Linked DNA regions of Cricetulus griseus. The protein of the gene in region 1 interacts with the protein of each later gene in a biochemical or structural test. Links are inferred from orthologs where the notes say so. Each region holds a gene or a part of one and is shown in the gene's direction. Other genes may lie near its edges.

Region 1 (3,416 bases):
AACGTTCCTACTTTGAAAGTAATACAATTTACTATATAGGTGTGTCGATCTTGTACACCATTCCCTGACAATGTGTACCAAACATGTTGTCCTCTTGTCCTCTTTAGTATCCTTGACTGATTGGTAAAACAGTCAGTACTTTATTTTTTTTGAGATAAGGTCTCAAGTAGCTCAGTGTTAAATGTAGTCACCTGAATATGTAGCAATGAATGACCTTGTGATTGCAATCTTGCCTCAACTGAGTAATTGGTAGGATTATAGGTGTGACCCTGAAAACCTTGATGAAGATTGTCTTTGTCAAAGGAAACTGCATTTTTTTTCTTTGTAAAATAAAACAGAATCCTTGTGATTTATTTTACATCTGAATGAATCGGATGTAGTCCTTTTTACATCTTTCTGCACCACAGCCTGTGTTACCTTTCACCATAGTAAGCTTCACCTTCTCTCCTAGAGCAAACTTCACCACCCCCTTTCTCTTTCCATTGCTTTATTTTTCTCAAATTCTTTGAAACTCTAATTGCCAGGCCCTTAATAATATTCTAAAATATTGCCCATCTTGGCATCTCAATATACAAAAAATACCCATATTGGCATTGACTACTTAAGAGCATGCCTGATTGTCCTGCTTGCTAAATGTTCTGAAATTCTCACTGGTCATCTCAACCAACTACATTTGAGGACTGGAGGGTCACTCTAATAATTTCCTGAAAGTTTTAAAATTTTCCTCACGCAAATTATCTTTAGTTAGTATTTTCTGTCTTCAGATACCATTAGCAACTAACAAAAGCAAGTCAGATCCATATCTAATTTATTTTGACTTAGAAGTAAATTGGTTTGCCTCTGAAGGTAGTGACTTCTTTTTAAATATTTGAGTTACTTTTTAAAGCTTTATGTGTATGAGGTTTTGTCTCCATGTGTATATGTGCACCACTTACTTGCCTGATAATCCGGAGAATTGAGAAGAAAGCCTGAGATACTCCGGGGCTGGAGTTACAGACAGTTGCAAGCTGCCCTGTGAGTGCTGGGAAACTAAAGCAGACCTGCAAGAGCAGTAGCTGCTCTTACCTGCCAATCCATTGCCACAACTCTTAAAGTCAATGATTTCTAAACTCCCGACTTCAAAGAAGAAAGTTTCACAATGGAAAAATTTTCAATCTCCATTAAAGATAGCAATGTGCAGAAAGTACGAGAAGCCGGACCTATTTTAAAGAGAAATATCTAAAATGTTTAATTTCAGTCTGCCGCCAGCCAAACCTGTGTTATTTGCTACAGTCAGAAACAAAGTTTGTGACCAAACCAAAAAAGATATTTCTTTTACTCTTGCAAAAATTAAAGGCGGGACTTGTGGACAAATCCTTTTAAGTAATGTTCCTTGCATACTTCGTATACGTTTATGGAAATATGCAAGTAACTATCAGGATGTCCTCTCCTTTGAGGATTCTTCTGAAACACTGGAGGGATTTAAAAAAAAATATCTTTAGTCTGTTGATTGTGATTCAAAAAAAGCACACATAGGTATGTGAACCCGAAGGCTGTTCTCCTTTGGAACACCAAACTGCCAATTTCTGCGCCCTTATTTTCAGTAGTAAGTAAAAATTTGGGGACTAACAAACACAATTTGGGATTCTAACCTTGTTTCGCGCGGCCAAAGGGCGGTGGATTGGACGCTCCACCAATCACAGCGCAGCTCTGGCTTATATAAGCCCGGAGTCGGAGCTAAGGAGCACAGCAAAATTTGCTCTTTGAGTTAGTTTTCCTTTGCTTTTATTGTAGCTTACAATCTCGCCATGTCTGAAACTGCTCCTGCCGAAACTGCTGCTCCGGCTCCTGTGGAGAAGTCTCCCGCAAAGAAGAAGGCGACCAAAAAGGCTGGCGCAACGAAGCGCAAGGCCACCGGTCCCCCGGTGTCCGAGCTCATCACCAAGGCTGTGTCTGCCTCTAAGGAGCGCAGTGGCGTGTCCCTGGCCGCGCTCAAGAAGGCTTTGGCTGCAGGTGGCTACGACGTGGAGAAGAACAACAGCCGCATCAAGCTGGGGCTCAAGAGCCTGGTGAGCAAGGGCACCCTGGTGCAGACCAAGGGCACCGGCGCCTCCGGCTCCTTCAAGCTCAACAAGAAGGCGGCTTCCGGCGAGGCCAAGCCCAAAGCCAAGAAGGCAGGCGCCGCCAAGGCTAAGAAGCCTTCAGGTTCCACCCCGAAAAAGCCTAAGAAGGCTGCGGGGGCCAAGAAGACCGTGAAGAAAACTCCAAAGAAAGCAAAGAAGCCTGCGGCCGCTGGAGTGAAGAAAGTGGCCAAGAGCCCTAAGAAGGCCAAGGCAGCTAAGCCTAAGAAGGCAGCCAAGAGCCCGGCAAAGCCCAAGGCTGTGAAGCCAAAGGCAGCCAAGCCTAAAGTTGCCAAGCCTAAGACAGCTAAGCCTAAAGCTGCTAAGGCGAAGAAGGCTGTTTCTAAAAAGAAGTAGGTTTGCTTCTAATAGCAACCAAGCCCCAAAGGCTCTTTTCAGAGCCACCCAGAGAGCTCGGTGAATGTAGCTGTACACTGACCTAACCCTCTAAGTCCCGCCAACTACCTGAACCATCTGGGTGCCACAGTGGAATTCAGGTAACACTAGCACGGAGTACTCCTGCCCTCACGTACTGCTGAGTAGTTGCCATGTCCACGCGGGCACCCGCCTTTTTCCTCACTGTGCGCGCTCCCCCCCCCCCCCCCGGCTAATCCTCCCACTCCCATCCCGGACTAGTAGGTCTTGTCCTTTGCGCGCGTCTATCTTTACCCTCTGTTCTGTGAACACATTGTTCGTCAGGAATGTAGCTCTCCAGAGTTCACTTAGACTGCAGTTAGCTTTTCATAACTGAAAAATCAACGCGCGGCGCGAAAAGAGGCCGAATTGATTGGCTGTACATAATCGTATTTCCTAACCCAGTTGCATCATGGTTTTGTACCAACCTTGCCTCGATTGGACAGCCAGTCGATGACGTTTGGAGAGTCACTCCACTCAATTGCCGCAACTCATTTACAGCTAGTGTAGAGACTACCCTGCACCCTTCACTTTATCAAGTTGCCTTTTCTTCCTAGTATTAGGGCCCTCGAAGTCAGCTCCTTACCGGAAGGAGTTTTTAAGAAGGCGGTGACGCAGTCGCAGAAGGACCATTAGTGTAATCGTAGCCATAAGTAGAGTATATGTACAAGGTGCTGAAGCAGCTACACTCCAGCTCAGACATCTCTTCGAATGCCATGTGCCAATCAGGCCGTGTCCAAGTGTCCCAGGGGTGTCCAAATTTCAAGTCACTTACACTTTATGTTTGTATTTTCGAGACAGGGTTTCAATGTGTAACCGCCTTGCTTGTCCTGGAACTAGGTCTTTAGACCAGGCTGTCCTCGAACTTGCCATCATCCTGTGTCTGCCTCCAGAGTGCTGGGA
Region 2 (4,919 bases), on another chromosome or scaffold:
TTGTCAGGCAGAGGCGATGGGATCAAAACTCCAGGGTCATTATCAGCTACACTGCAAGTTCAGGGCCACCCTGGGCTACCAGTTTACCCTGTCGTAAACAAGGTCCAATGTGATGGCTCAGTGGGTAATAGCACTTAACCACCATCCTGATGACCTGAATTCAATCCTTGGGACTCATGTTGAGTTGGGGGGGGGCGTGGGGGAAGTGACCAAAATATATTGTATTTAATAAATTTAAATTAAAAAAATAGCTTTGAAGATAAAACACTACCACATCTCTGCATCCACTCACCTATGTTCCTTATCCTTTCTGCCTAAACTACCTGCTGCTTCTAGTCACTTTATCACCCTGAATTTGAGTTTTCACTTGCCTTTTAGAGTTTGTTGTTTTCTTTAAAAAGCTATTATGGTACATCTTGTTTTATTGCTGTAAAGAGACACTGTGACTATAATAACTTTTATAAAACATTTAATTGGGGCTAGCTTACAGTTTCAGAGGTTTAGTCCATTATCATCAGGGCTGGAAGTGTGGTGGGGTGCAGGCAGACATGGTGCTGGAAAAGTAGCTGGATGTTCTGCATCTCGTTCACGGGCAGCAGGAAGAGAGACTCTAGGATTGGGATGGGCTTTTTGAAATCTCAAAGCCCACCCCCAGTGACATACTTCCTCTAACAAGGCTACACCTACTCCTTTCAAATAGTTCATAATTGAGCCTTGTTGTCTAACTATACTCCCCTTTATTTAGTGTACTCCATTGTTTGAAAGCCCTGTAACTATCCATTCCCCTGTCAGTTGGCATTTAAATCCCTAAGGACAGTGCCATGGTGAACAACCATGCCATTTGATTTGTAAATACACCAGGTAGACTTTGATACATATTAATAGACCTGGGCCTCTGAGAAAACATAATTATCAGAAACACTTAGGTGAAAGTTCTCAACTCTAGTATAATTGACATTGAGTGCAGCCCTCCTGTGCATTGTACAGTGTTGAGCATTGTCCCCAGCCTCTGCACCACTAGATGCCACTAGCCCTGAGAGGGTTATATGTCCAGTTACCCTCTGTTCAGAGCCAGGTCTGGGTTGAAAGGAGGACTGTGATGGGAATAATATACTCCAAATGCATGTTTCCATGGCAGGAATGAGTCAGCTGTCTAGTAGCATCCTCAAGCCTAGCTTGTTTACGTTGCACGGGTGCTGGAAGATGCAAAGAATAGCAAGTCTTGGCATTACAAAGCCTTTTCTGAAATAAGTGGTTGGTTTTCGATCAGAGTTTATTCTCATTAACTTTAGCATCTCTCCCCTCATTTTGTTTGGAGTGTTAAAAGGGAAGCCCCCAGTTGTAAATGGAAGGTTCACAATGATTGTGGTTAGAATACAAAGTAATTGGTTTCATCCTGGCTTCTTTGTACATATGTGCCATTGTACATTTTTTTTATTTGCTGTTTTTTAAGATGGTTTCACTGTATATCCCATGTTGGCTTTGCCCAGGCAATCATCTTTAGTGCTGATTATGGAGTAATGAAATTCTGCCTTTTTGACAATTTTTAAAATTTTTCTTTTGTGTTTCTGCTACCATGGAGAAGCATATTTAAAGACATGCTGTGTGTAGGTATTACTTGACCACCATGTAAACTATTTCTACTTTGTATGAAAGAATTCCTAGGATTTTATTTATAAATGTCATTTTTTAACATATATTAAAATGGTGCTCAAAAGATGGCTCAACAGTTAAGAGTATGCATTGGTCTTTCAGAGGACCCAGGTTCAGTTCCTGATATGTTGGGCAGCTCTCAACATCATATAACTCCAATACAGGTAGCCACATAACCCCAACACAGACATACACACATGTACATAATTCACAATAATAAAAGTAAATCTTTAGAAAAAATGTATGTAGTTCATAGAAACTAACCAACTATAGGTGATAATTGGTATGCAAGGTGAGTTGCTAGGGGTTTCTTATGGAGAACTAAAGTTATATATGCCAATTTCCAGCGTGAGAAGACAGTTGAAGTGAAGAAAAGTAAATCCTGTGAAGCCGATGTCTCCAGCGACCTTCGAAAAGAAGTCGAAGACCTTTATAAGCTTTCCCTGCCTGAAGATTTCTATCACTTCTGGAAGTTCTGTGAAGACCTTGATCCTGAAAAGCCAGCTGGTGAGTTCCTTTGTGCTTCTGTGACTGGAAGAGATGATAGGACACTGGAGGAAAGACAGAACCAACTCATAGAGAAAGGGGATTGCAATCAGGTATGGTGACACATGCCTATTACAGTCTCCGAAATTAGGACACTGGTTTGAGAGTTTAACGAGTTTCAGGCCAGCCTGGGCTACACAGTGAGATCATATCAAAAAAAGAAGACAGAGGAACATTCCCACAGTTTGTAATGAGAGCTATGTTGTCAAAGAAACAAATTAATACTTAACTGTAGTCAGTTTTTATGGCTGTGACCTGAGAAAAACAGCCTGGCAGGAAGACAGAGTTATTTGGAGTCATGGTTTTAAAGGTTCCTGACCCTGGTTAGTTGACTTTCTTGTTTGGGGGCCTGTGATATGTTATGCCAGAGGGATGTGTTGGGAAACTTGTGTACATCTTGGCAAACAGAAAGCAAAGAACATTAGGGTGCAAGAATCATAGGATAGGATGGAACCCTTCAAGTCATTGACCACTTCCTCCGGCCAGACCTTACCTCCTACTGGCCAGGTCACTTCTCAGTAATGTCACTAGCTGGGGCCCATGCTTTCAGTACATGAGCCTTTTTAGTTTAACGTCATACTCAAACCATAATGCTATAATATGCTACTGTCACCTATTGGCAAAGGCAATCGGTTTCAGGATATTCCTCCATGTACGTGTAAAGGAAAATTAGCAGTTGCATAAACTTGTCTTATAGACTAAGTAAACTAAGAATTTTCTTCAAGGATATTTACTGAGGGGTGGAGGGCTTAATGCTTGATTGTATCCTTCCTAGAAAAGCTGCAGGCACTGTGAGATTATCAGTTTGCACATCTGCACAGCCTTCATGGCACTGTGGTTTTCTTACTCTGCCCCCATGGTTGTGAAAACAGATGGAGTCATTGAGTGTTATGGTCCACAGTGTAGCTGAAAGTCAACAGAACCTGGAGTGCCCACTGAGGAGAAGGAAAGAAAATGGTTTTTTCTATCGTTGACCTATGTTGTCTCCCCCATAATCTGTGTATTTGTAGCTAATAGTGGATAGCAGTGAGGCAAGGGAAATGTGTGGCTCTTAGGCCTAAAAGAATGCAGAGCAGCTTGGCTTGGGCTACATGAGGGACAGGAATGTTTCAAATGTTAAGCTACTTCAGTAGTAGGTTTAGAGGGAATTCTAAATTTAGTGCCACATTTCTGTTAAACATTCTTCCATTGAGCAAAAACACTTTTACAGATTTTAAAAGCATTCTTTAAAACAACTTGCTTAAGAATTATTTGGAATCAGGAGGCAGGGGGAAGTGAACCTCTCATTTTGAGGCCAGCCTGGTCTACACGGTAAATTCCATAACAGCCAGGGCTACACAGAAAAACCCTGTCTCAAAATAAGAGAAAAAAAAAAAAAGTGATGAAAGGCATTATTTCCTACTTGCCTCTAGAAAGTGTTGCCTGAGTAAACTTATTTTCCTTATAGATGCACTTGCCACAAGCCTTGGACTTCGGTTAGTGGGTCCCTATGATATCCTTGCTGGGAAACATAAAATGAAGACAAAATCCACAGGCTTGAACTGTAATCTTCACTGGAGGTTTTACTATGACCCTCCTGAGTTCCAGACCATTATTATTGGAGATAATAAAACTCAGTACCACATGGGGTATTTCAGGTAAAAGATCATCTCTCTCTCTCAAATACAGCTGCTTTGGTATCAATGAGTCTTCCAGCCCTTCACTGGCATCCCCAAGGAAAGACTTGTTTCCTCTTATGGTGGCTCTGTGGTTTACCTATTGTTCTGGCTATCCTTCACCTCTGTAGCCTGCCTAGGCTGGTGAACTCTTTACATTAATCTTCCCTGATCTCTTTTTCTCTTCCAATATAAAGTTTTGTCCTTTGGGGATCAGAAGAGCTTGTTTGAAGCCCAAATAAGATGATGTAAACCAGTTGTTTGACTTAAACCATGCACTTCCAGGGGCCAAAGGACTCAAAAGATTGGTCCTGCCATTTATTATCTTGATGAGGGTATGCCAGTCAGTGGTGACTGTGGTCTTTCTGTGACTCAGTTTCTTAAAATTACAGAGATAATAGCATATATTTGATAGGAATATTATGAGAATGAAGGGAATGCCCGCAGATAGGTAAACTGTTAGCAGATAGGGTAATGTGAAAAATAGCTTGTGCACATGTAGCAGTAGTCCTGTGTTGTAAAGTCAAAGTGAAGTAATAGAAGAAAAGATGAGTCATGGCTACAGAGAAGTACTGTACAGAACACTCGTGGGGCTGAGAATGGGGTCAGATGGATTTTGTTCTTGGTTTTGACACTAATTGGCTGCTAGAACCTTAGCCAAGAATCTACTGGTTTCTTCAATTTTAAAATAAAATATACATGAATAAGATTCTTCAATTTTTTTTATAATCTGTCTTGTTTATTTTTGGCTTTTACTCCACTTTTTCTTCTTGTTCCCCCCCCCCCCCCGTAATAAATTGTAAAATTAAGGTGATCAGTTGTTTGTAACACTCTGTTCACAGACTTTCTTTCCCATCTTTTATATTTGAGAAAAAATAATTAGGTACTAAGAACCCTGGCTTTGTGTTCTGATAGATAAGATTTTTCATAGACAGTCTGGAGATACTTGGAGCTTAAACCTAGTAAGCTTATTCTGCTTTTTACAGGTGCAATTTGTCTATAGACTTAATTTTCTGAGTGTTGGATCATAAATTCCTGGCAGCTAAATTTTTATTATCTTTTGTT
Region 3 (4,809 bases), on another chromosome or scaffold:
TTTCTTTCAGGGTAGAGGGATCAGGGAACTTCCTCTGTCTAGAGCAGGACAAGTCATTGTGATTTTTCTCTCCCTAGCCCAATACCCAATGTGCATTTAAAATAAGGTTTGGAGACCTACATCTCTGTCAGGTTCCCCTATCCCTGGAAGTCTCAGTCTTCCACTGGGGGGTCCACTTCTCTTAAGCTTCAAAGAGCTGTCTAGACTTTTATTCCTTCTTGGTGGTCCCTCAGAAGGAGGTCAAGGACCTTAGGATCCTAGAAGCCTTTTTTAGCCTCCTGGTAAGGGTTACCTTTTTTTTTTTTTTTTTTTTTGAGCTATACATTTCTTCCTCACTCCCCTTTCTTACTCCCCTCTCCCCTTCCATCCTCCCCACACACTTCCAATTTACTCAGGAGATCTTATATTTTTCCTGGAAGGGTCATCTCATTTTGTTTTGTTTTTGTTTTTTGAGACAGGGTCTTACATGCCCAGTCTGGCTCCACTTGCTATGTAGCTACGGCTGAACTTGAACTCGTTTCCTGCCTTTGCCTCCTGAGTACTGAAGCATCATTCTGATCCTCCATCTGTGGTTTTCTCTGTGGTGGGGATCAAACACAGGCTTTCTGCAAGTTAGGCAAACACTCTATCATCTGACTTACAGGCCCAGCCCGGGAAGTCATTTCTTTGGGTAAGTATAATGTAACATCTTAGTGCTCTGGGCTTTGGGGACAGCAAAAATGGATTCCTGGCTCCCATTCGGTGCTCAGACTTTGGGCCCAGGGGACCCTTAATGAACGAACGAATGAATGAGTTGTTACATACGGCTGATGATCAAGTTCCTCTTCTGGAAAGAAAGCTTATGCGCCTGATTGAATCGAGGGGAGCTCTGGACCGTGGGCACAGGAGAGACTGAGAAGATGGGGATAGAGGCAATTCCCAGAACTGTCTGAGGAACAGCGCCGAGACAGACTGGCTAGATCCTTTCGCCCTTGGAGACCTCCCAGCTCCTTCTCTCGGGCAGTGCTGGGATCGGCAGGCCTGGCGGCGGGCACTGAGCCCGTTCGTTCACAGCCTGGCTCAAGCCAGCAGGAAGAGGAGTGAGGCCAGGCAGCGAGGCGGGCCAGCTGGCCAGTGGGGAGTCCCGGGCGTAGGCGCGAGTAGATGGGGAACCCCCGGCGGTGCCTCCCAGGCTCCATTGTGTGTGCTGTGCCCCCCACCTTGGCCTCAGAGTCCTCCTCCATAAAACAATCCCTGAGATGAGATGGCTTGCGTGCCACTGGCAGGCGAGGCACGACGAGAGCTAGGGAGAGCTAAGAGACCAGGGAACCGAGACTTGCCCTAAAAGAGGCTGAGACGCGCCGGACCCTCAGCTCTCGAGGGCGGAGCTTCGAAGGGGCGGGCGCCCTGGGGCGGGTCCTGAGTGAGGGCGGGGCTGGGGCCGGCACCTGGGTGAGGTCGCGCAGCCCCGCCCCCTTGCACTTCCGTGTGCCGCGGCGCCAGAGCAGGAGGCGGCGGTCGCAGGATCCTGCGAGCGGCCCCTGGACATCTACCCTCCGTGCCGGGACCCGAGCGGTCCCCACTAGCCGCCGGACCCATCCTGATCAGGCCCGTGCTGACCTCCCCGTCCACGCGCTTCGGGGAGAGCCGCGCCACGAGACAGACCCCGGCCCGCCGGGACCCCTGGCGCCTGGCCCTGCGTCCGGAGGTGAGTGAGAACTGGGCCCGGGCGCGGGGTCCCAGCTAACTCGAGGGCGCAGCGGCCTTTTTCTCTTCTCTCTCCCGTGGCCTCTTTTCCTTCCCCTCTTCCCTCCTCGTCTTCCGTCCCCCTCTTCCTTCCCCGGTTCCCGGTTCTTAAACTGAGAAACTGAGCCATGAGCAGCCTAAGTCCCACCGAGCACGGGGACCCGCCGGTGCTTCGGTCCCCTGATTGGTCTGACTCTCTCTTCGACGGCGGGAGCCCAGACCCTACTGTTCCCGTCATCTTTACCATCCTGGGTGTCTTCAGTCCCACCGAGGGTCTCTGCGATCCTCCCGAATCTCCCTGGGGGCCTCTGCACGTTCGTCGGTCCTCATCTCCTCTTGCCTGGTCCTCCGTTTCCAGGCCAAGTCCGCTTGCCCCTCGCCGTCCAGTACTCCGTCTCCCCACCCCCACCAGGCCCGCCGCCCCCTCGACCCATTCCTCTCGGAGCCGCACCCCCGGCCCACGCTCGAAGGCCCCTGCCAGTCCAGCCTCTGGTCCTTTCCACCACGGGGCGGAGGCCGAGGCGCCCGTCGTCCTATCCTCCTGCGCCTGGATCCCAGGCGGGCAGACCGGCGCGGCGCCGCCTCCTCGCCCTATCTCTTTCTGTCTCGGTGTCTTTCTTGGTTTTCCATCTGTCTCTGGGCTGGGCGTGGCTTCAGTCTCTACCATTTCCCTGTCCTCTCCGCCCCTCTGAGCCCCCTCTCCCGGTAGCCTCTGCCTGGTGCTGTCAGTCTCGGTCCCACTGGAGAGACGCCACTCCCTCTGGGGGCCCAGTAAGGTGATGAGGGCAGCAGTGATGGGAGTTCCCTGCCCTGCTGGCTGGCAGTGGAGAGGGAGGCCAAAAGCACCACCACAACTGTTCCCACTTCCCCAACTCCCTCGGTATATAGTGGAGGGGAGGGAAGAGAGCCCCACTACGCACTCTGCTTAAACCTTTAGAATGAGTGGAGGAGATCTTTTTCCTCTGGTCCCTACCCCGGGCCCTTGGAGGATCTTGGCTTCTGTTGCTGGAGCATCTATGTCTAGGCCTGTGGGTATGTTGTGTATCTTGTCTCCTTGTATTTTGTTTGTCACTGTGGGACTTTCCCTGTGAATGTGTCCTTTTCCACGTGTGACTTGCTTGTGTGTATATGACTGTCTGAGTGTCCTGAGGCTCCATGTGTGGCCCTTGCAACTTCATGCATCATGTCTTGGTGAATTGTCATTTGTCTCCCCTCTATATTTTGTGATATGTGTCTTTGCTTGCTCATGTATATATATCTCTGTGTGCCCCGAAACTCCTGTGTGCACCATGTAATGGTGACTATCTGGCCGTGGGTATATTAGATCCTTGAATTGTGGGAGCCCACACTATTGGCGTGCCAACCTACAAGGCTTGTGTGTGAGTGTGTTTTTGTGTAAGAGTGCATACAATCATGTTTGATTCTTCTTCCTCTGCTGCTGATCTTCTGTGACCAGGCAGAGGGAGGGGACTAGTCCTTGGGTTTCCTCGTTCCTGCTATGGATTAGCCTGGGGTGTGGTGGATAGCCCAGCAGAGGGCGGCTGTGTGTGTGTGTGTGTGTGTGTGTGTGTGTGTGTGTGTGTGTGGTGTGTCCTCAGTGACAGTATCTCTGTATGATGTTGTAAAGGCTCTGGTATATGACAAGACTGTGCTGAAGGTGACACTGGCAATATGGAGCTGTAGGGGGAGAGTATGACTGGTAAGAGACTCACAGTCTGACTGTATGAAACTGCAGGTGTGTGTTGAGTGACAGTGGTTGTGGGTAACAGTGGCTGAGTTTGGGTGACAGCAACAGGAGGGGTGTTATAGAGTCTTTGGTGATAGGACTAGGAGGGAAGGTAAGTGCCTAGCTGTGAGAGCTTATGGGAGAACAGGAGGTGCTGGGCGTGTGCTCTGGAGACATGGAGAAAGCTGGAGGCAAGTCCTGGGGCTGCAGTGGTCTGATCAAGACTTCAAATTCTGAACCATAAAAGCCATGGGTTCAAATACTTATCATACCCTTTAAGAGCAGGAGTCCTACGCCAGGTCTCTGTGTGCTGAGTTTCCTTTGTGGAACAGAGCAAGCAAGAACTTAGGGATCAATGGCTCTTCAGCAGTCTTGGCTCACACTGAGAGTGAAGCTGTTCCTGGCTGTATGTCCCATTCTTCTGGAATCTGGGATGAATGAAAACCCAGATAGTTCCCAACAATATTTCCCACATGATGTGTTGTTTGCTTCTTCCTGTCTCCCTGACTAGGCTGCTTGCAGGAAGGAGGATTCTTCACAGAGTGCCAGGACACAGTCCTGCTCAGCTCCACCCCAATGGGACCCCAGTCTCTGTAGCTATGATGGAGTGAGTGGGGGGTGACTCAGAACTGTGATTATTGCAGGGTTCTGACACCATTTATCTGGCACAGCTAATTGGAGTTTAAATTTAAACTGGAAATAAGTACTGATGGAAAGATAAAGCCTAAGGCTGCTGCTGCCTCTAGGAAGTAGTGATGGGGTCTGGGGCAGTAGGACTTTGTTGCTGTTTGGAGACTGGGTTTCTCTGTGTAACAGCCCTGGCTGTCCTGGAACTCACTTTGTAGACCAGGCTGGCCTTGAACTCAGAGTCCACCTACCTCTGCTTCCTAAGTGCTGGGATTAAAGGTGTGCACTACCACCCTCCAGTGAGGGTGTGGGACCTTTTGAGAAAACCTAGCTTGCAGTGGAAATGCCAGAATACCTAGGCCAGGGCCCCTTGCTGCTTTTGCTGTTCCTCCTGTTCAGAATGTCTCTATGCCTCGGTTTTTTCAACTGTATAATGGTGCAATAGTAATGTGAGAATCACCTGAAACTACAAAACAAGGACTAAGATGGATCCTTATCTATCTATTATGTTCTCCTCTTGTGCTTTTTTAGTGGTCCTGATGATTGAAGCCAGGGCCTTACTTGGAGTTATTAATGAACTACATCCTAAACTCTTTTTTTTTTTTTTTAATTTTTGAAACAGAGTCTTATTTTGTTTCCCCAGGCTGGTCTTGAACTTTCCCTGTAACCCACACTAACCTTGAACTTTTGCTTTTCATGCCTCTGGCCCGAGTAACTAGGCTTACTGGTTG
Region 4 (3,034 bases), on another chromosome or scaffold:
GGGCCAACTGCCTGCTGCTAGCAGGGGAAGTAGTCAAACAGTCAAAATAAAAGATGGCATGAGCTTGAACATGTTAAAGATGAATGCCAACCTTAGGTCAACTGTAAGTGCATTCATTGGTCAATGCCCTGTGCTGTTACTAAAAACTCAATGGTTGTCTTTTCTCTGTAGCCTGAGTCATTGGTACAAAAGACTGGATATACCCTGGAAAGTCTTAAACCTTGTCTCATGGACCTTCACCAGACCTACCTCAGAGCAGCACAGCATGCTCAACAGTCAATAAGGGAAAAGTACAAACATTCAAAGTAAGAATCAGATTCTCATTCATTTAAAGGGTATGGTAATCTGCCACAGCTGCCTCAGTAAGGTAAATGTGTTAGGAAGCTATTGTACCTGGCATTTCCCCCTTTCATCTGGTAGGGTATGGGTAAGGTAACACACGTTTTGAGTCTAATCAAATAGAAATAGCATTTCCCTAGGCTGGGGCATATAAACTGTTCTGTGATCTCCCCAATGAATATTTACTAAAAAAAAATTTTTTTTCTGCTCAACAGATACCATGGTGTTTCTCTTCTCAACCCACCAGAGACACTAAATGTGTAAGAATGAAAGACTACCTTTGTTTAAAATGGGAGTTCACAATGTACAGTTTTGTCTTGGGTTTTAATCTCACAAATCATTTCACAATGTAGATGGTATAGCCACGGACAAATTATGGTATCCATTGCTTTTTAAATGGTTTTAATTTGTATATCTTTTGTACATGTGTCTATCTTAGATATTTGGCTAATTTTAATTGGTTTGTTAACATTTGGTGCTGCCAACTGTCAGGATAATAAGAATAAATTGATTTGGAAATCTTTGCAAGTCAAAGTTAATTTGAGATAAAAATAAGACTGATAATGTCACTTAGAAAGGCTAACTTGGTTTATTGTTCAGTGGGGGTAGAAAAAGCTTCCTAAAACTGAAATATTTCAGGGAAACTGATCTTCAAATTCTGACATTGGTTATTCTAAGCAACTGAACCAATTGCTGACTTGGTCATAAAATAAGCAAAAACTAGATTCTTCAGTGTAGCAGAGACTCCCCAGACTCATTCAGTTCTACTTTTACAAATAAGATTTTACATGGATTAGGAAGATTTTGTGCAACAGAAAAGTTGTACAGAAAGTTTATTCAAAGCATAATGTTACAGACAAAACAATTTATGAAACAGTTCAGCTCTTATAATGGATTTTCAAATAAAAAAATACCCAGTGCTGTTAAAGCACTGAATAAATATCCTTTTAGTAGTTTTATATATATATACACACAAAAATATCATTTTAGCTTTAATTAGCAGTTCTCTTCTTTTTCCTCCTTTTCACTTGACTTTTACTTGGTGCCTTTTCTTTTGCATTGGTGGTCTGAGCTCTGCGAAAATAAAGTAATACCACAACTCAGTGTATGTCCACTGAATCCTGGACTGGATCGCTGGAACTTTAAAGGCAAAGGCATCCTGTTTTACAGACATAAGTCCTATTTTTATGTATATTTGAAAGTAACCAGAAATCTGTTACCTTATTTTCTTTGGGTTCTTGTCTGGTTCCAAAATGATCATTTCTTCTTCTTCGCTATCTGACAGCACTATAGGGGCACCTTGGAGAAAATACCGAAAGTAAAAGTAACTACTTATTAGTATCATTAGTCTGAATGCTCCCATTTCCATGCACACACAGCTCAAGCTCTGCTGCCTGGAGGCAGCATATACAACATACTCTTTCCAAAAATTTTGTAAAAAATACATGTTTTTTGTAGTTTTTGTTTTTGTTTTTTTTTTTTTTAAGAGGACTCACGTAGGCCAGGACGGTCTAGTTTATTACTACCAGGGCTAACCATGAAAAATGTAGAGAACTTTTGTTTGCCCATTTTTGTCTTGAATATTAATTATATATATATATATGTAAATAAAGCATGCAAATTAATCATTTGCCTATTTTGGCTGTGTATTCTTGTCTCAGCATTCTTTATTCACATGCTTTAGAAAAACTCTACCATCATCATCCTTGTTATCTTAGCTGTTCATGAGCCTTACTAAATCTTAGGCAAATAGATATATACACAAGTGTAAAGACACTAGCCAGTGATAGTGAGGTAACAGCATTATTGATGGTTAAGACAACTGGATACAATGAATGGTATAAAACTCACCCATTAACCTAATTAAACCAACATTGTTCCCCTGTCAAAACAAAAACCAAGTCTATAAGCAATGATTCTCTTTCATGAAGACAAGTAGAATATGCATTAGTTCAGAGTGCATACTTCTCTGGTAAAGAACCTGAGTTCAGTTGCCAGCACCTACATATGGCAGGTCGCAACTTCCTGGAACTCCAGCAAGTTCTCTGACATCTATATGCATACCCTGGCACACATTTCTTTTTATGGCTTTTGGACCACAGCAAGTTAGACCTTCAAGGGACTTCTAACCTAAAGATAGTCACTGCTACCAATGTGGCCAATTTTGTGTGCATCTGTGTAAGTATACATGTGTGCTGGTCTCCACAGACCAAAAGATGTGTTGGTTCCCTTGGAGCTGGAATACAGAGGGTTGTGAACCATCCAGTGTGAGTACTGGGATCCAAACTCTGGCCCACATCATGAGCTTTTTGTTGTTTGAGTCAACCTACACAAAGTAGCTTGCAGGAGTGAGATCTTAAGGAAAACCCTTCAGTGCCATGGATATATTCTTGTTTTTCTGAGACAAGATCTCTAGTTTTTGGTGTCCCAAAACTCTCTATGTAGAACAAATATCCTCCTGCCTGTGTCTTCCCCAGTGCTGAGATTAAAGGTGTATGTCACACCTAGCCAGATGTAATTTTTTTAATTGTTTAAAAATATCACTATTATCGACAGGCAGTGGTGGCACATGCCTTTAATCCCAGCACTCAGGAGGCAGAGAGGCAAGTGGATCTCTGAGTTGACACCAGCATGGTCTAGTTCTAGGACAGGCTCCAAAGCTCCATGGAGAAACCCTGTCTTGGAAAAATATATA
Region 5 (4,247 bases), on another chromosome or scaffold:
CTGTTATAAGGCCAAGAAGATGGTGTCTCAGACAGCAGGCCGGGCACCGCGGTAACTCTTGGGCGGCACAGGGCATTTGCAGCTGCACTCCCCCACTGACCTGCCTTGTGGGTCCCTCTGATGTCGTGTTTCATCTACACACCATGGAAGGCTCTGACTAATGCACAGCCAGACTTATTCTAGTTCTCCTCACTCACCTGCACACAGCCACCAAATCACACAGGCTTTTCAAAGCCAGGCATTTGCAGCTGGAAAAGAGGCTCTTTGTTTATCTTTAGAGAGTAAAAGAAAGAAAATGAAGTGGTACCAGCAACCCAATCCTCCATTCCCCCCATCCTCCATTCCCCCAATCCTCTATTCCCCCATGCCCAGCCCTGAGGGAGAGCTCTTTATAGGCTGGGTGTCTTTCCCTTTGAGCAGTGGCTCTCCTGCCCTGTCCCCATGCCCAGTTCCCCATCAAAGCGCTCTACCAGGGGTACCCCTGTCATCTTTATGTTGAATTCAAGGCTAGTTGTAGCAAAGGGCATATTCAGGAATTTCCCATAAATCCAATCCTGCTGGGCACATCCTACTGGAGTGAGAATGAGAGCATAGAGCCCCCAGGATTAAAGATGTGATGAGGAAAATGCTTGAAGGGCAGCTTGGGCACAGACAGCTTCTTGGCATCTCTTACACCCCATCCCCATCCCCATCCCAAGAGGTTCCTCTGCCTCGATAACAGCTGTAAGTACCCTTCCTTGAGCTCTTTCAGGGTACCACCTGCTGGGCTCTGGACCAGCCAGAAACCCCATCATAGGAACTGGTGTGTCTAATAGATAAGCCCTTTGAGTGTAGGCACCCAGCTGGGATGTAGAGTAGAATGCTGGCCCAAAGTCATGTGACCTCAAAGCTATGATGTTCCATGATACCTCCAGTCCTCCATACCTCAGGATGGTGACTGTAAGCCCTCTAGAAGGGACAAAGGACATATCCAGAAGCTAGCTCCTGTCACTGACACCAAGCAGGACAGGGTCTTGTCAGATCAGAAGGGCTCCAGTTCCTCTCTGCCCTGTTCTGAAGTTCCCTCCACCCCCAAGTAAAGGCAGAGAGCATTCCCCGTACCCCTCACAGATACCCTCTAAACATAAAACCATCTGTAACCTGACTTGTTCATAATTAGATTTTCAGCACATAATTACCAGATTAATGGATTAATTATAATTTATTTGCAAATCACTAAACGCATTACTCCAAAACATTTTTCCCTAAAGATTATTTGGGGCTGCTCAGGGCAAGATAATGAAAGGGACGGTTTAAAAAATGGGAAATGCACAACCAGCAGCCTAATTACAGATCATCAAATCAATCTCCGCCTTCACAGAGCTAACCTTGCCACCTGCGGTGTGTGGGGAAATGTGGTCCAGTTCTTCTCACAGATCTTCAAGCGCGGTGATAATGCATTAACCTTTCTGTCTTCTCCTCTTTGTGTGGAACAGCCTCCATTTGATGGTGAAGATGAGGACGAACTGTTTCAGTCTATAATGGAGCACAACGTGTCCTACCCCAAATCCTTGTCCAAAGAAGCTGTCTCCATCTGCAAAGGAGTGAGTGCATCTGAGTTTCCTCCCCGGCAGTAGAGGCAATACCCCTCCCATACCTGATGTTTTTGAGACAGGGTCTTGCTATTTAGCTCAGCCAGTCCTGAACTCCCTATGTAGCCCAGGCTGGCCTTGAACTTGCAATCCTCTTGCTTGAACCTTCCAAGTGCTGAGGTTACAGGTATGCACCGCCATGCCTGGCTTCCTTTTCCCGCCTCCTAAGAGAGACCCCAGAACTATCACAAATGAATGCTGCTGCCCAATCCGGTGACATGCAAGGAGATGCAACAGACTTGGATTCCAGTACTGTCCAAGCACCTTGTCTCATCTTCTTATTCTCCTGCACTCCAGTTCCTAGTCCATTTCCTAACATTTCACAGGGTTGGGGCACAGCTCAGTCAGTAAAGTGATTGCCATGTACGCACAAAGACTTGAGTCCGGTCCTCGGAACCCATGTAAAACAGCCAAGTTGAAGTAAAGGTAGGTGGACCCCTAAGCCCACTGGCCAGTCAGCATAACTCCAGTCCATGTGTTCCAAGGAAGAACGACACCTGTTATCGGCCTTTACACACATGCACACACTCCTACCTACACCCTCTGCCTTCCACCCACATTCACATACATGCATCGCAGGCTCTCAGGGAGTGCTAATTCTCACATCTGGCCTCCTAACTAATTAATTAATTCACCTAACTAATTGCCACATCTGAGACACAGTTTGTCCTTTCTCTCTCTTAAGATAGACACATTTTAAAAATGGGTATAGCCCATCCACAGACAGATCAATGGGTTTTTATGAAATGGATGCATATGTAACTGTACCCTGGTCAAGAGACACCGAACCCCAAATGCCCTTCCTCTCTCCCCTTACAGTTGCTGTTACCCACCACCCCGAGATAATCAGTGTTAACCGCACATACCGGTCTTGCCTATCTCAGCCTTTGCACAGAGGGGACTCTTCAGTGGGTGTCCCAGACCTGGCTCTTCAGCGCAGCATGGCAGTAGTAAAAGTGCCCAAATAGCCATGTTTCCCTTCCATGTTGCTGCATGGTTTTCACTGTGTGGACATCAGACAGTCCAGCCCTGAATTCCGCTCATGCGGGAGGGCACTTGCATTGTTTCCCCCTTGGCTGGAGGCTGTTATAAATGGAATTGTTTTGAACTCTCTGGGTCCTGGGCCAACTCTCTTCTTTCAGGGAATTGCTACAGATGGAACTGGTGGCCGTGATTTAAGTCATTTTTAGTGGTCAAGTTCTGAAAATCACAAAATTCTTGTTCTTAATTTACCAAGAGAGTGTACCACACCCGGTGTTTCCTATTTAGTGTGTTTGAAGGTCAAGGCCCTGGTGCCCGTGACAGCTGAGGAGTCTCTTGCTGTAGAAGAGCCCAGGGTTGGCACCTCCCTCTGAGTCCTGCATCAGATACCTTGAAATGAACCACTTGCTGTCTTGGCTGCAACACGTGTTTTCCTAACCCATGTGCCTGATATTTAGATCTGGGCAATGAGGAGGAATTCGATGCTTGTTGTAGCATCCCGAATGATGCTGGCCTGCAGTACTTTCATCACACAAGATATTTTAGTGACCCCTAACTTTTTATCAGATTGCATGTAAATAACATGAACATCTCTTGCTACTCCTCGCCCTCCCTCCCTCCCTTCCCCTTTGGCAGTGCTAAGGATTGGACCTAGAACTTTACACCCTGTAAAGGAAGCTCCCTACCACTGAGCCATATCCCCAGTGCCTGCTTCCCCATTCCCATACAGAATGCCAGGTTCAAAGCACACAATACTTAGAGATGCCTGTTTGAATTTTTATTCCATTTTGGTCATTGTTTCCAGCTGCTTCCTTACTGTGAAAATCATTCTACAAAAGCCACACTTGCCACAGCACAAGTGAGCTTCCAGTGTGTTCTCAGACAGCAGCACCATCTATGCCCAGAGGCAGAGCTGGCCAGGGAAGGTGCTGACTCTTGGGAGGCTGCTGTCATCAGACTGACTTTTTGTCTCTTTCTCTCCAGCTCATGACCAAACACCCTGCCAAGCGGCTGGGCTGCGGGCCTGAGGGAGAGCGGGACGTCAGAGAGCACGCCTTCTTCAGGAGAATCGACTGGGAAAAACTGGAGAACAGGGAAATCCAACCACCATTCAAGCCCAAAGTGGTGAGTCCCACAAAAGCAGGCCAGTGTCCTGCGCTGGGTTCCTGATCCCGGGTGTGGCCCTCTCTCCCTTTCTCTGGCCTTGGCCGAGTAAAGAAAACAGTCGAGTCACCAGCCGTGGTGCACAGCCATGGGCTCTGCTGCCTTTTCAAAGTGAGAACAGAGAGAGGAGAGATGCACAGACTCTTAATCTCCCTTGCCTGCTTAACAATGGCCACAGAACACCCAAGCCATTGACCACCAGGTTGTGCCCTGGACTCTGGGGATATTGTACCTGTAGAGCTTTGCCCTGGTCCTTGACAGGACTTGGGCCTTCAATCTGTTGCTAGCTTACCCCTAGATCTGCCTGCTCCACAGGCCTCCCGACAACCTGCCCCTCATGGGACCCTGAAGCACACCTAAATCTCCACCAGCTCACAGGCAGGGTGTGGACACAGTTCCCACAGTGGCTTCTGCATCCACCGTGAGGGGTGGGTGGCTGCCACCAGCTCCACCATTGCTGGCTTTTTTCAG
Region 6 (3,232 bases), on another chromosome or scaffold:
CTCTCCAGCCCAGCATTTACTTTGAATACTAATCATTTCCCAAAAGGAAATTTGAGAAAAAAGAAAATTTGAAATGCTTTTCCTTTAATGAAATTAATTTATTCAGAATGATTTCTTAAATTGAGGATACCAATACTGACCTTCCTTCCTGGACTGTAGCATGTGCTTCTCTTTGTTTGATGGGGTCTCTCTTTTTTAAGGTTGATAATCCCTCTCCAAGCCCAATGGAAACATCTGGATGTGCCCCTGCAGAAGAATACCTGTGTCAGGCTTTCTCTGATGTAATTCTTGCCGTGAGCGATGTGGATGCAGATGATGGCGCTGATCCAAACCTCTGTAGTGAATATGTGAAAGACATATATGCTTATCTCAGACAGCTGGAGGTCAGTATTGTTGTTACAATACGATTTTACTGAATTCAGCTAGGTTTATTAAGGAACTGTTTTTCTTTTGGTTTTTATGAGTCCAGGCTTCCCTGTGTACCCCTGACTGTCCTGGAACTGACTGTAGACCAGGCTGGTCTCAAAAAGTTGTGCACCACTAACTCAGCAATTAAAGATTTTTATCAACAGCACATTTGACATTTCTTGACAATAGATAACACTTGAAATTCTGTTTTGAAATGGAAATAAAGTCACTAACTCCGTGGGGTGGATTTGTCACGTTGAATACAGAATTTCTGTGTTGGGGAGATACTATTATGACTCTTCCTAAAGTAGACACACACATCACACATGGGGAAAGTCCCAAACTTGTGGTTGGAGGAGGAGGTAGATAAAGATGCTAAAGAACTTATAGCTGTCCCAACACAAGGGTTTTTTCTGATTTTTTTTTTTTTTTTGGTCAGTGTGCTTGTGCTTGGCAGGAAAACTATTACTTGTGCCCAAAAGGAGCACACTCAAAAAATTGAAGTGGTTGGTTTTGTCAACTTAGCCCAGTTGGATATTAAGGACATTAACGCTTTCACCTCTTTAAACAAGACAGTTCTTTAATGTAGTTTTATCAGATTTGCCACCTCCAATCCTAGGAACAAAATACAGCACTTTGTGCATGCTAAGAGGTGCTTTACCACTGAACTATATCTCCAGCGCGCTGTCTGCTTCAGTTACCACTCATTTACTCAGTCTCTTATCCTTTGTGACAGGGTGCATATGGGGGGCTCAGAGGACAACTTTCAAGAATTGGTTTTCCTTCCACCTTTAAATGGGTGGGATTGACTTAAGAGTCAACCATTTTGCTGCCATTCCTTTTGACGTAATTTATATTTCCTAAAGTAGTCCTCAATAGGATTATCTGTCCAAGCTTGCTGTCTACTTTGTAATTCTTGTCAATACTAAAAGGTTTTTTTTGTTGTATCCTAACTGCAGAACTGAATTTGGTAGTTAAACATAGTTGTTCTTAATTCCTTATTCTCTCTTTTTTATATTTGTACATATACATAGTGTTCTGCCTGCATGTATGCCCGCAGGCCAGAAGAGGGCACTAGATCTCATTATAGATGGTTGAGCTAGCATGCTGGGAATTGAACTCAGGACCTCTGGAAGATCAGCTAAATTCTAGCTGATATATAACTTAGTGATTAATTTTTTCTATATCACAAAGTGAAATTAGTAAAATCGATATTGATCTGAGATTATGACAGGTGTAAGTGTGGGCCTGCTTTCCACTGGTTAATTGAATGTCACAATATCTTAATATGAAAAGCCTGTCATGCTATTTTAATCCTTGCTTTCTTAATAAAGCTTTGCCATGGAGCTGTTTTATATTAGTTAATTGGTCTTTGTGGTCACAAATGGCGTATAGAGTGATGCTTCCAGGATAAATGACATTTTTCTTTTGCAGGAAGAACAATCAGTTAGACCAAGATATCTACTGGGCCGTGAAGTCACTGGAAACATGAGAGCCATCCTAATTGACTGGCTGATACAGGTTCAAATGAAATTTAGGCTGCTGCAAGAGACTATGTACATGACTGTTTCCATTATTGACCGGTTCATGCAGGTATGTGTAATTAAGTAATGAGAGTTCTTCATTCCCGGGTTCTAGAAGACTCTTGGAGGAGGGGGGAGTGGACACTGACAGTCAAACCCAGGGTCCCATTACATGGTAGGCAGGTATCTGTCTTTACAGGGAGATAAGGTGCCACCAGTTGAGATGTTCAAGTACATGTTCATTGACATTTCAATTGCAGGATAACTGTGTACCCAAGAAGATGCTGCAGCTAGTTGGTGTGACTGCCATGTTTATTGCAAGCAAATATGAAGAAATGTACCCTCCAGAAATAGGTGACTTCGCTTTTGTGACTAATAATACTTACACTAAGCACCAAATCAGACAGATGGAAATGAAGATTCTAAGAGTTCTAAACTTCAGTTTGGGTCGCCCTCTGCCTCTGCACTTCCTCCGTAGAGCCTCTAAGATTGGAGAGGTACACATTACTTGAAATTTTTATTTTGCTATATTAGAGAATACGGTAGATATATAAGTACATGGGAGAAGGATATGGCTGTTATTATTTCTAATCAGGTTGGATATTATATGGTTACTCTTAAAGCCTTCTGTGGACCATTGTATTTGAGAGTTTGTAGTCACAGATCGGGCTTTGTAAGTTAGCGCAAAAGCAAAACTGCAAAAGACGCTCAGTGGTATGTATGTGGATCTGTTTCAGGTTGACGTTGAACAGCATACTTTGGCCAAATACCTCATGGAGCTCACTATGTTGGACTATGACATGGTGCACTTTGCTCCTTCTCAGATTGCAGCTGGAGCTTTTTGCTTAGCACTGAAAATTCTTGACAACGGTGAATGGGTAAGCAGTCTCCAAACCAATTGTAAACAGCCTTTGAATGCACCATTTTTGCCCTTGTGGCCCTTCTGCTTCCTCAATAGGAGTAAATGAATGGTGGTGAAAATGTGGTGCCATCCGACTTAGAATGCTTCCATTCTTCAGGTTTTTCATCTTTCTGATAACACCCTTTTGGAGTCTGTCTGTTAATCCTTTCACACATGAAAGCTACACCAAGTGGTCTAAGACCCATACGCATTCTTCATGTACCAGATGCTGTCCTGACCTTGGGGTAGAAAAGCCAGCATCTATAATGCTATGGTTAAATTGAAGCACAGGCTCTCGGAGGAGCACACCTGAGCAAAGAGATGATTTATTTAAATTTCAGTTGTGTTTACCGTTCACTATCTACCTGCTAGACTCTTGAATAGCATCTAGAACAGTTTT
Region 7 (4,994 bases), on another chromosome or scaffold:
TAACCAATTCGGTTTGCTGATTGCCCGTCGCCTCCGCGGGTGCCAGGGTTTCCAAGATTCAAGAACTGGTTGTACCCCCACTAGCACCCCCACCCCCAGTCTTGGGACTTTCCCTTCACACGTGGCCAGGTCACCGGCCCAATGACCCCAGCTCGGAATCTGTCCTTGTGCCCCTTCAACACCCAAGGCCCAGCACCTCTCCGCGTTCCTTCCTCTTCCCGGTGCCACCGGGTGCCCATGGGGAAGATCTCTCCCGGGTACCTGCGGCACCGCGAGTTACCCTAGAGCCCCCAATCTCTCCCAGCTCTCCTTGCCACACTCGAGGCACCTGGCCATCCTGGTGGGTAGAGATGAGGTTCAGTCCGCCGCCGCCCACGGTCGGGAGCCCTCAAGGCAGGCGCCCTGGAGAAGGAGGTGAGGAAGGGGAGCGAGCCGCGCCCTCGGGCCGACTTGGAGGGCTCCGCGGCCGCAGCCCGAGGGCCCCGCGTCGCTCTCCCGAGCCAGGGTTCTCGGGAGCAGGCCGCGCAGGAGACGTTGGAGGGAGGGGTTCGTGGCTGTTGGGGGAACCGGCTCCTGGGGAACAGTCCCTTCCAGGGTGGGTACTGTGGGCAGGCCGTCGTCCGCCCTCGCAGGGGACGCCGGCCAGACGGGCGCGAGTGGCGACGTGCAGTGCGGTGCGCCCAGTACGCCCAGCTTTGCGGCTCAGGAGCCCCGGGTTGCGCGGTTAGCCGCGCCCGGTAGCGCTCCGGGGCCAAGCATCAGCCGGCGGCGCTGCAGGTGAGCGGTCGCCAGGGCGATGAGGACCCGGGCGCACGCCCGCCGCGGTTGGCATGGAAGCGGCTCGGAGGGGCCCGGACTGGTCGCTGATTGGCTGGTTCAACAGACGCGGCTGGGTCGAAAGTGCTCAGTGGCGAGCGCAGCAGCCCTAGCCGCTGGAGCCGGCGCCCCTGGAATCTCTCCACTCCGGGTCCCCTCCCTTCACGCCAGGCCCCGCCCGCCCGGCCCCGGCCTGGGTGCGCTGGCTAATCGCCTCAGAAGGAGAAGAACCTGAGAATCAGGGCCGCCTGGGGTTCCCAAGCAGGTTTGGGGGCCTTCCTCTGGTGAGAAGCACTTGCTTGTCACTTGGGAAGGGGAATCATTTGTCCACAGTTCGAGTTTCAGGGTTTAGTCTGAGATGAGGGAAGGTGGGGAGGAAAATCAGGGATCCTAGGCAACACCTCTCTATCCCCCCCCCCCCCGCCCAAACAACACAAATCAGTGTGGGCTGAGAATCCCGATGTGGAGTTTGGACAGACAGCCCCCCCTCCCTCCCTCCCTTCCCTCCCTCCCACTCTCTCTCTCATTGCAACCTTCAGCCTGGGGTCAGATTAAAGCCTATTCAACCAGTGTTTGGTTGTGAGTTGCTCTGATGCCTGCTGCTGTGGCTCGCTTCGGAAACGCTGACCTTAATGTTTGTTGAGAAGTTGAGAAATGGGTGGTAACTCCGCCGGGGCTTGGCATTCTCTGCATTCCTGGGTCCCCAGGTTGAGAGGGTTGACTAACTGTCTCCTTCTCTTTCCCTGGATAGCAGCAGGTTGTGGCTTGCTAGGCAATGCGTCGCCACAGCTCCAAGAGTGGAGTCGCTCTCCCTCCAGTGGGCCAAGGTCCCGAGGCTTGTCAAATGCTCACTAGAGCTCAGCTCGGCCAGGATCCCCCACAGAGAACCGTGCTAGGGGTGTTGACTGAAAATGAGCAGTACAGGAGGACCTGTGGCCAGGTAATGACCCAGGAGCATCAGGGAAGATGCTGTGGAGAAGGCCTGCCTGCCTGCGGCAATGTGCATGTCTGAGTGTGTGTGTGTGTGTGTGTGTGTGTGTGTGTGTGTGTGTGTGTGTGTGTGTGTGTGTGTGTGTGTGTTTCCCCCTATATCAAAGAAGTAAATCTTAGAGACTGTTTGGGTTAGGAATGTGTTAAGTGACTTAAGAGTTAGTCAGAAGGGAGATGCGATTACTTTGATCTGTAGTGCAGGGGTGGGGGTGGGGTTGGGAGGAACCTCTGGGCCAGAAAGTTGTATGGATGAGCCAGGCCACCAGAAATCAATCAATGGAGACAGCGTGTGTACCAGGATACACTAGTTTATCTTTTAAGAGAAAGGTGGCATCCAGAGCAAACATATCTACCACTACAGACAATGGCACTGAGATGCTACCAGTCTGCTCTTAACTGACTGTATAACTGGCACCGAAGACAGCATCAAATTCAGACGTTTAAATGTAGAGGAGAGATTTGAATCTGCAGCAGTGACTTTTTGAGATAGAAAATAAAGTGTCCTCTAAGCCTGTTATTAGATAAACCCTTGTAACGAGGCCTCAATTCTGTATTACAAGTCTGTGGAACCCAATGGTTACAAGAGTCCAGTCCAGCAGGTGGGTGGGTTTTAAGGGCAGGTTAGAGATGGTTTATCCCTCCCACCTGTTACAGTAGAGGCTCATTCAGAGACCCTTCATCTACTGCCTCTTCAAGTCCTCTGCTCTTGGGTCTGACTGTATCCATTGGTGGCAGTGATCCCCCAGATGATCCCTTTAATGCTCTGAGTCAAGCCAAGTGAAAATAGTTTTAACAAAAATGGCTTAGCAATGTTTCACTTCTTTAAACTTGCCATCTGAGACCTGAATTTATGAATTAAAAGTGGTGTTTACATTGAATGTCCTTGTTTGAAATTCACACTCAGCTCTTGTGCTACCGGAGTTACTGCTTGGTGTCTCCTCGACACTCCATTCCCCTACACCTTCCATAGAAACCCACCTCAAGCCTGATTCCCTATTATTTGTTCTTTGGTTTCTATTTGGTTTTAAAATAATTTAATTCCTTCATTACTATGTATGTACATGTGTGCATATATGATGTGTGTTTGTGAGCATGCATGCCACAGCATTCATGTAGAGGTTGATGACAAGATTGGAAGCTCCTTCTGAGGTTTGAACTCAGGTCACTGGGCTTGATAACAAGAGTCTTTACCCTCTGAACCGTCTTGTTGCCTCAACCCTTAATTGTTCACAGCCCTGCTCCTTCAGAATAAAGAATAAGATGACTGTATCCTGCTTTCCCAAAAGAATGCTTCAGCCAGAACTTCACTCTTCCTCCCAACTCCAGGGAGTAGGGAGAGTCTAGGCCAAGCTGGCTTTGATGTGGTACATAGCTCTAAATGGCCTCAAATTCAGGACCCTCCTACCTCATCCATTCTAGTGCTACAATTACATGTTTGTTCACTTTGGGCCAGCAGCTAGAATCTTTACTGCTCCCCTGTGTTATTCCCTTCCTGCTCTGTGACTGGAACCCATGACCTCTTGGATTTCAAGGTACCTCTCTAACAATTCTTCTCTTTCTCCAATTTCTTATCTCTCTGAAGCAAATCCATACATGCATGGATATATGGAAATAGCTTCCCATCTTCAAACTTGTCCAGCCACACAGCTATCTCTGTGCAGCTACTGTCCCAGTTACAGCAAGATTTATTAGAAACTGTCTATCTTAATGGTATGGGCATTCCACCAGGGTGACAATGTGGGGATGACACTTTTCTGTGGTATTCCTACTGTCCAGAAGAGTGATGGGCCTGGCTAGACAAGCTTGGTGTGTTTGTTGGCTTGGCACTTTCTGTTTCTGAGTCTTCTCTCACTCAGTTTTGTCTTCCTTGATATATTGACACCTTTCACATAAGTGGCCATTCTTCCTTCTTTGAAACCATTTATTCTTGCTCAGTTTAGTAAAAAGTACTCTTTCTTGATGTGTTATGCAACACATTGCCTCTCCTCTGTCTCTTACACACACACACACACACACACACACACACACAACACACACACAGATACACACATACACACACACACACAGATACACACACACACACACACACACACACACACACACACACACACACGTAGAGCAGAACTCAAACCCAGCAGTAACATGAGTCATGGCTAGTTGTAACTTGCCTCATGGAATTTTTTCCTCTAACATTTTATTACAAATTGTTTTTCTTATTAAACATAAGTTTAACTTCCTTGATGAAAAGTAAATTCATGAAGTGACATATGAATTGGGAAGTGGTATCCAATAATAACTACCAAGATTAAGTATAAGCAAAATGTTCACAGTTGATGGTACTGGCATATCAAAGTCTAACTCCTAGGCCTGCTCTGGCTGCCACACATAACTCTCCTTAGACCACTGGTTGCCAGTGTTCACTATGACAGGGCCACTGTTGTTTCTGTTGTTCTCTCTGTAAGAATAAAGAAAAGAAATGATTTGAGAAAATTCCCCAAGAGTAATGATGATATACAAAAATATTTTCATACCATTTTAGAATGTTTTGTAGCACAGGGCTCCAAGGTCATGATGTTTTCCTGAATAACTGGGTAAGAAATGAAAGCTTTACGGGCATCTCCAATGGAAAGTTTGGCATTTAAACAGAGGACTCAGTAACTAAGGATCAAGAGTGATGCTGAGTTCTTGTAAAATACTGTAGTGCTCTAAATGTAAAGGACAATTTGCAATTTCCCCTAGAATATTGTAACTAATCAGTTTTCTAAGTGTATTACAGCTCTTCTTGTTTTTATAGTTGTGAATTCCCTTTAACACACATGTAATGAAGATGATGAATTTCAAGCAGAACTTTTCCCATATGACAAATGTAAACAAAATGAAAAGGGAAGTCATGTTCAGAGATTTGGTATTTGGAATTAGATAGTCAGAAAGTGAGAGAGTTTGCTCTAGCTTTCCCAAGCTACTGGTATGAGTGACATGGACTTCCATTGCTTACAGTGGATGGTGACCAACAAGAGATATAACATTTTGTTTTGTTTTGTTTTTAAGGAGATCACAACAATTAGATGTTTTTCTGGATCAGAAAATGTCTTCCCTGTGGCTGGAAAGAAAGTGCTCCCTGACCATGGAGTCAATGAGCCAGCCAAGCACGGATTTGATATCTACATGGATGAGCCTGAACAGCGGGA

The links.
Region 2: the proteins of H1-5 (region 1) and histone PARylation factor 1 form a complex in vitro, tested with the Homo sapiens proteins (2 studies listed by BioGRID). The link is inferred for Cricetulus griseus from reciprocal best matches to the Homo sapiens genes H1-5 and HPF1.
Region 3: of the proteins of H1-5 (region 1) and Prkcd, one has a biochemical effect on the other in vitro, tested with the Homo sapiens proteins (2 studies listed by BioGRID). The link is inferred for Cricetulus griseus from reciprocal best matches to the Homo sapiens genes H1-5 and PRKCD.
Region 4: of the proteins of H1-5 (region 1) and Ccna2, one has a biochemical effect on the other in vitro, tested with the Homo sapiens proteins (2 studies listed by BioGRID). The link is inferred for Cricetulus griseus from reciprocal best matches to the Homo sapiens genes H1-5 and CCNA2.
Region 5: of the proteins of H1-5 (region 1) and Prkca, one has a biochemical effect on the other in vitro, tested with the Homo sapiens proteins (2 studies listed by BioGRID). The link is inferred for Cricetulus griseus from reciprocal best matches to the Homo sapiens genes H1-5 and PRKCA.
Region 6: of the proteins of H1-5 (region 1) and Ccnb1, one has a biochemical effect on the other in vitro, tested with the Homo sapiens proteins (2 studies listed by BioGRID). The link is inferred for Cricetulus griseus from reciprocal best matches to the Homo sapiens genes H1-5 and CCNB1.
Region 7: of the proteins of H1-5 (region 1) and Ccna1, one has a biochemical effect on the other in vitro, tested with the Homo sapiens proteins (2 studies listed by BioGRID). The link is inferred for Cricetulus griseus from reciprocal best matches to the Homo sapiens genes H1-5 and CCNA1.

Annotation. Positions count from the first base shown.
Region 1 is NC_048596.1:244,135,637-244,139,052, reverse strand, and holds H1-5 (histone H1.5), read left to right. Parts: upstream 1-1,715; 5' UTR 1,716-1,787; coding exon 1,788-2,456; 3' UTR 2,457-2,517; downstream 2,518-3,416. UniProt on the Homo sapiens protein: Histone H1 protein binds to linker DNA between nucleosomes forming the macromolecular structure known as the chromatin fiber. Histones H1 are necessary for the condensation of nucleosome chains into higher-order structured fibers.
Region 2 is NW_023276806.1:238,645,357-238,650,275, forward strand, and holds the start of histone PARylation factor 1, read left to right. Parts: upstream 1-1,718; coding exon 1,719-1,736; intron 1,737-2,000; coding exon 2,001-2,160; intron 2,161-3,646; coding exon 3,647-3,836; intron 3,837-4,919. UniProt on the Homo sapiens protein: Cofactor for serine ADP-ribosylation that confers serine specificity on PARP1 and PARP2 and plays a key role in DNA damage response.
Region 3 is NW_023276807.1:189,104,321-189,109,129, forward strand, and holds the start of Prkcd (protein kinase C delta type), read left to right. Parts: upstream 1-1,453; 5' UTR 1,454-1,687; intron 1,688-4,809.
Region 4 is NW_023276806.1:113,103,033-113,106,066, forward strand, and holds the end of Ccna2 (cyclin-A2), read left to right. Parts: intron 1-171; coding exon 172-305; intron 306-554; coding exon 555-603; 3' UTR 604-1,331; coding exon of another isoform or gene 1,332-1,413; 3' UTR 1,414-1,559; coding exon of another isoform or gene 1,560-1,638; 3' UTR 1,639-1,964; downstream 1,965-3,034. Other genes in the region: Exosc9 (exosome complex component RRP45), read right to left, coding at 1,332-1,413, 1,560-1,638. UniProt on the Homo sapiens protein: Cyclin which controls both the G1/S and the G2/M transition phases of the cell cycle. Functions through the formation of specific serine/threonine protein kinase holoenzyme complexes with the cyclin-dependent protein kinases CDK1 or CDK2.
Region 5 is NC_048600.1:120,914,146-120,918,392, reverse strand, and holds part of Prkca (protein kinase C alpha type), read left to right. Parts: intron 1-1,475; coding exon 1,476-1,583; intron 1,584-3,596; coding exon 3,597-3,737; intron 3,738-4,247. UniProt on the Homo sapiens protein: Calcium-activated, phospholipid- and diacylglycerol (DAG)-dependent serine/threonine-protein kinase that is involved in positive and negative regulation of cell proliferation, apoptosis, differentiation, migration and adhesion, tumorigenesis, cardiac hypertrophy, angiogenesis, platelet function and inflammation, by directly phosphorylating targets such as RAF1, BCL2, CSPG4, TNNT2/CTNT, or activating signaling cascade involving MAPK1/3 (ERK1/2) and RAP1GAP.
Region 6 is NC_048595.1:319,288,908-319,292,139, reverse strand, and holds part of Ccnb1 (G2/mitotic-specific cyclin-B1), read left to right. Parts: intron 1-200; coding exon 201-383; intron 384-1,842; coding exon 1,843-2,001; intron 2,002-2,191; coding exon 2,192-2,428; intron 2,429-2,668; coding exon 2,669-2,809; intron 2,810-3,232. UniProt on the Homo sapiens protein: Essential for the control of the cell cycle at the G2/M (mitosis) transition.
Region 7 is NW_023276806.1:96,102,438-96,107,431, forward strand, and holds the start of Ccna1 (cyclin-A1), read left to right. Parts: upstream 1-1,591; coding exon 1,592-1,756; intron 1,757-4,854; coding exon 4,855-4,994. UniProt on the Homo sapiens protein: May be involved in the control of the cell cycle at the G1/S (start) and G2/M (mitosis) transitions. May primarily function in the control of the germline meiotic cell cycle and additionally in the control of mitotic cell cycle in some somatic cells.